Bombyx mori: one gene and its partner. The protein of the gene in region 2 interacts with the protein of the main gene of each other region in a biochemical or structural test. Links are inferred from orthologs where the notes say so. Each region holds a gene or a part of one and is shown on either strand. Other genes may lie near its edges.

The links.
Region 1: the proteins of Rad51 (region 2) and 26S proteasome complex subunit SEM1 form a complex in vitro, tested with the Homo sapiens proteins (2 studies listed by BioGRID). The link is inferred for Bombyx mori from reciprocal best matches to the Homo sapiens genes RAD51 and SEM1.

Annotation. Positions count from the first base shown.
Region 1 is NC_085129.1:15,972,833-15,976,578, reverse strand, and holds 26S proteasome complex subunit SEM1, read left to right. Parts: upstream 1-1,480; 5' UTR 1,481-1,552; coding exon 1,553-1,625; exon of another isoform or gene 1,626-1,710; coding exon 1,711-1,877; 3' UTR 1,878-3,230; downstream 3,231-3,746. UniProt on the Homo sapiens protein: Component of the 26S proteasome, a multiprotein complex involved in the ATP-dependent degradation of ubiquitinated proteins.
Region 2 is NC_085131.1:10,825,721-10,828,403, reverse strand, and holds the end of Rad51 (rad51 homolog), read left to right. Parts: intron 1-177; coding exon 178-386; intron 387-558; coding exon 559-688; intron 689-1,006; coding exon 1,007-1,252; 3' UTR 1,253-2,170; downstream 2,171-2,683.

The sequences.
Region 1 (3,746 bases), on a different chromosome or scaffold from region 2:
TAATAAGTTAAGTACTTTGTTTATCCTCCGACAATATTTTAAAAATAAACGAGTGTAAGGTTATTAAGTTGTTTCATTGCCTACAATGATAAACAGAGTAGGTAAGTTATGTTCGTGTTTGTGAACAAGAAGGCAGCTAAAGTATTAATCATTAATACTAGTACAATAAAATAAAAAGATAGAAAGCTCAACTTTGAACACAAAAGTTATACTTTCACGATTCGGATACCAAATGAATCGTCGATGATGTTAGTTAGGACACGCAAGTAGAAATACTTCTTGCAATACTTTTAAGTACACAGATTTTGTAATTGTTTTTCTTGCGGCAAAATTAGGTTACTCATTCACACTTCAATTATATTAATTTAACCGGCTCCACGACTAACACTCAAGGTTCCAACCTTGAGTACGATTAGGATTTTTTTTTTTTAAAAAAGGGTTCAACAATGAAGGGATTTCAGATCCTTTTTGATTTGATAATTTTTCTGCATTAGGTAAAGAAAACTATTAAGATGAACTCGTTTTTTTAAAGGTGGAGATTGTTCGAATCAAATTTAAGTGCAAACGGAATATGTCCCTTTTTATTGTCTTTGTAGTAGTGTTATCAACACTCGTTTTAAGAAGAATAAGACATTGCGCTCAGGAAGCATCGTACAGAAAAGTTATTTCCAAAGCCAGATGGTGTATGGCAAAAAAGATATTACATAAAGATATAAAAAAGTACTATGAATTAACTCTACTACGGTGACATGGGGTACCATGGTGGAAAAGAGATGAAATATATTATGTGAAAACAAATACCTAGTTGCTTAAATATTTCTAAATTCGGAAAAAACAACCACAATACAGGCAGCACCACGTTGTTCTGACATCAAAATTTATTGTCACAGTTGCCAGATGGGGGGGATTCCCTGCAAATTTGGGGGGTTTTTCGACTCTGGGGGAGAAAGATTCTTTGGGGGGACATTCGGGGGGAAAAAGTTAGTTGGGAGAAGTTTCGGAGGTTTTTTGAGTATCAATTTGCAATTACTATTAGAATAATTATAGTCTACTATACTATTTACAAGTCAATATTATAAAGGACAAATAATGCAACCAAATAGCAATAGAAACTGCCGAAGCGGTTCTCAGGATTCGATCTTCACTGCCAAATAGATGTATAAATTTTGTTCCCACATCGGACTTGTTAAATATCTTTAACTTCGAAAACGAGTATGCTTTAAATAATAATAACGAAAGTGAATATGATCGTGATAATTGCTTAGAGATGGTTGAAGTTATAGGGATAGCTTGATTAAAAAATAAAAGAATCCTTTTGGTTTTTTATTTCTTCTTTAAAATAAGTAAAAACTGTTTTGGGGGTTTTTTTCTTCAAAAAGCCTATTTTCGGGGGGTTTTCGAAAAAAGTTGGGGGGAAATTCGCACGGTCATCTGGCAACACTGTTTATTGTTGTGAATTTACATTTTACGTGACAGTTGTGTTGTGACTTGCATCTTATTTATTCTGCTACATTAAGTGATATTTCCTTATTTCAATAATCATCACAGTGTAATGGCTGACAAACAGAAAGTAGACCTTGGTTTGCTAGAAGAGGATGACGAGTTCGAAGAATTTCCCGCGGAAAGTACGTAAACCTCCAGATGAAGAATATTAAGAAATTAACAAAAAATGTTTTCATTCATTCTATTTTAATTCAAATTTTCTTGTAGATTGGGGTACAGAAGACGCTGATGATGAAGATGTATCGGTTTGGGAAGACAACTGGGAAGACGACGTCATCCAAGATGATTTTAATCAGCAGTTGAGGTTAGATCTTAAAGATTTCTGTTACCTTCATATGGGCCCAATTGCTGTCGTATTTGATTCTTCTTCTTAATCGCATACCCCATTGCTGAAGGTCATGTCCCTGAAAGGCCTTCGTGGCTCTTTGTACCATCAGCTTCCATTTCGTTCGGTTTTCGGCTTCTCTCAGGGCGGTCGCAACAGAGAGTTCGATCAGCGCGGTTACCTGATCCGACCAACAGTTCGGCGGCCGGCCGGCTGTCTTTTCCCTTCTACCTTGCCCACTACAGACAATTTTTCAAGGTTGTTTGGTGGCCGCTGAGAAATATGACCAAAGTAGCCAAGAACCTTTTGGTAGCAAATCGTAGACAGTATTGTTTCTGATTAAATTTAGAATAATAAGGACCAAGCTTCTGTTCTCCATTATATATTTATGCTATCTGAATAAATGTCCATGTTTTTTTATTGCTTACATGGGTGGTCAAGCTTACAGCCCACCTGGCGTTAAGTGGTTACTGGAGCCCATAGACATCTACAACGTTAATGCCGCCCGTGTAATGTCTCAGTATTGTTACAACGGCTGCCCTACCCTTCAAACTGAAATGCTTTACGGCAGAAGGGTGGTGATGCCTACCCGTACATACTCACAAGAGCTCCTATCACCAGTAAATTCTAAGCGAACACTACTGATGTGACTTCATTTAATATTATAGTACAGTAAGCTATATTTTAAGTTCTAGAACTATTTAAAACCCAAACCTTAAAACAAAATTTTATAAATTTATATTTTTAATTTGTCTCGTGCCTCGAACGCACCTAGTTTTTATTTTATTTTACAGCAGGAACATGCCTCTTGTTTGCTCTAAATATTATTAAATACCTTTATGTTGATGTTACAGCAATCAATCTTTAGTTGAAATGTCATCTAGTACATACAATTAGCATTGAAACTTGTTTCAAATTTATAAATCTTGTGTAAAAAGATAGATTGAATATTTTTTATAAATATTGATATTTCTGGTTATATAAGAGTATGCACTTAGTATCAGTAATTAAAGCACATAGAGACCATAATAGGAACTCAATTGGCCACTCTGAAATATAATACTGAAGTCTAGTTTGAGTTAGATACATGCTTTCCATAGAAATCAGCCTCCTTTAGTACATTGCTGCAGGAAGGCACGAATGGGACGATCTGCGCTGGTTTGCAATGACTCTCATGTACTGTATAATCTTTTAAGATAATTAGTTGTTGGTACTTATGTTTCTAACATTATTAGTCATTACATATGATGAGTATGGACTGCTGGAGAGCAGTTACCAAATGTAAATTATATCTGAAACAATTTTATTTCATTTCAGGCAACAACTGGAAAAACTGAAGGATCAGAAATCTTAATTTTAGCTTAGTTGTAATTAAATAATAATAAATGTGATTTTTTACAAACAGTTTTATTTTTAGAACATCCTTTGAAACATTAGTTACCTGGATACATGTTTTATTGATAGAAGATCACAGTTTATCTTGAACAGCATCTAACATATTTTGTAATGAATTGTTCAATACTGCCTCTCTCTGAATAAACCACAATGAATAAAAGTTCATAGATGGAGTGCTCTGTATTCGACTCCATTGTCCACTTTGAGATGAGTCCCAGTTCTATAGTACAACAGTCACTTTCCCACACTTATTTTTTTAGTCAAAGCTTATCATATGTTATCTCTTGAACTCATACTCTTCATTCACACAGTTAATCCAATTCTCTTTAAGACACTCCCTCCTCACCTCAAGGTAAATAAAATAAATATTAAAATTGATGGCTCTGGCCCTATCACTTGCTACTGTGTTCGAGGGAAGACTTGCATGTGTGTGCGTGCATGCAGTTTATGAATGAAAGATCTACCCTCACTGTAGCAGCATGGTTGCAACCGACACAACATACAAATCAGACAGGTCCACTGA
Region 2 (2,683 bases):
CTCAGTGGCAGCCAAAAAAAATTGAGAAAAAATTGTTCAATGAACAATGTCGCTTCTATGTAATATTGTAAAATGTAAAATATCTAATAATTTCATTATTTTTTTAAATAGAAATCCCATATTGGTAATTTTAAATTACTGAAAACCAATTGCCTTGGCCTTATTAAATTTTCCCAGCTACCCATTGAACAATCTGGTGGAGAGGGTAAATGCATGTACATCGATACAGAAGGAACATTCAGACCGGAAAGACTGCTGGCCGTTGCACAGCGATACGGTATGGAAGGTGCGGCAGTCTTGGACAATGTTGCATATGCAAGAGCTTATAACACAGACCATCAGACCCAATTGCTAGTGCAAGCTTGCGCCATGATGGCAGAGTCAAGGTAAATTATTTTATAATAGATCTATTTAATTGTTTTTCTGAATTTGTTATAAATTTTTTATTGTTTTTACTTGTGAATTATTTTTATACTATATATATATTAAATAATTTGATTTTCAATTAATTTATTTATTACGCATTAAAAATTTATCTTACGTGCATACAATTTTCAGATATTCCTTAATTATAGTTGATAGTGCAACCGCTCTATACAGGACAGACTATTCTGGACGAGGGGAACTGAATTCTAGACAACTACATCTGGGTCGTTTCATGAGAATGTTGCTCAGATTGGCTGATGAGGTAAGTAAATATTCCACGTAGTTTCCTATATTAATTATTTCAGAAAATACAACTGTAATTTAGTAAAGTGCTTACATAATTAAAATCGTATTGTGAACAATTTGGATTTTCTTTATAAATATTTCTATCTATTGAAACAGTTGAATAATGATTTCGAATTCAAATCACGGATGGTATTTATTTTCAAGTGAATTTTAATCCTATTATGTGATAAACGTAAAAGTTAGATTGTGTTATATTTTGAGAGGCAGTGTGTATATATTTCATGTACATGTATTTTGATGAGTTACCAATAAAGTTTCAAATCTGTCATTCCAGTTTGGAGTAGCAGTAATCATAACAAACCAAGTGGTCGCACAAGTGGATGCTGTAGGAGTTTTCAATGCTGATACCAAGAAACCAATCGGAGGTCATATCATAGCGCACGCGTCCACAACTAGACTCTATTTACGGAAGGGTAGAGGTGATAATCGCGTGTGTAAAATATACGATAGTCCGTGCTTGCCCGAAACAGAAGCTATGTTTGCGATTAGCGCTGAAGGCATCACGGATGCTAAGGAATAATAATTTAATTAAGGTGATATCATCACTGCCATCAACCTTAAATATCATTTTAAACAACGTAGTAGTGTATGTTAACAAAGAAAAAAATAAAATAAAAACTGGAAAAGAAACAATGAATGTACATAATATATATAACCACTCAAAATGAAGAAAATGGCTCTAAATCCAAAAAAAAAATATGATGGAAAAATAAGTATATTGGAACATACACTCTTAATTAATTTATATAATTTGGTAGATTATTTTAGCTCATTTAAATGGCAACATCAATTTGTGTGAATGAGCTTAGAACATGTTGGTAGCGTAGTGATGTGTGAATTGTTTTATTTTGTTAATACAATAATAACTTACGGACTTATTCATCGCGACTTATTGGACATTTATAATTTTCCAAAAAATTATAAAGGTCCAATAAAATAAATCCAATTTATAAATTTTAAGTTTATAACTATTAATATAAATAAAATGTAATGTTTGTTCTCTATGAATTCCTAAACCATTCATGCGATTGTGATGAAACTTTGTAATTAATATTGGCAATCTAGAAAAGGTTTGTTGCAGTACCAGCAACATATGACAGACAGCACGTGAATAGTTAAAAAAAATTTGTTTCTTGAACAATTGGCGACGGTTATACGTGACAGCTTTTCATTAGTTCACAATAAATCTGAATAAGACCATATAATAATATGTAGCTGCGATAACTATTATAAATAAAACCATTTCATTCATTAAATTATCACTGTTTCGACTTTATATATAAAACTATCTAGTATTTCTTTTCACAATATTAAAGGCATTTTATGTAATACCCATTCATTCATTGTATTTAAGCATTAATTCCAGGATCAACTGTAAATAAGTAGGTATGTAATTTAAAGAGAACCAGTGTCAAATAAAACTATTTTTACATTTTCATTATTTTTATTTTTTCACAAAATACAGGCTTAAAATTTGTTATATTCTATTTTCAACAATCAGTTTTATATCCGTCTAAATATATACATTCATTAATTATTCCGAGAAAATAACATTATTTTTGATACATACATAATACCTTATAAATATTATTGCTTTTATTTCATTCTTTACAATAAATAGGTTTTTGTCAAGGCTAGTGCTCTAAAAATCGTCTATCCTATTCTTAATTTATCTGAATTTTGTTACCAATAGCTATTCATATATACCCTGTTATTCGTAAATTTGCTAGAATTCAACAGTCACAATTGAAAAAAAAAAACTAAAGCGTTGACCTATTGATTAATTACGTAGTTAATAGAGCCTCTGGTCCTCAGCCCAGCTCAACCTACGTCCAACCTATTCCGTGTAATATCTTCCTGTTATTACCTAACTATACGCCTGCACTAGACCCGTCTTGATTTGCCGATCTCAGATTTACAATCGCGGGTAGGAGTGAGGCGGGCACCCGGT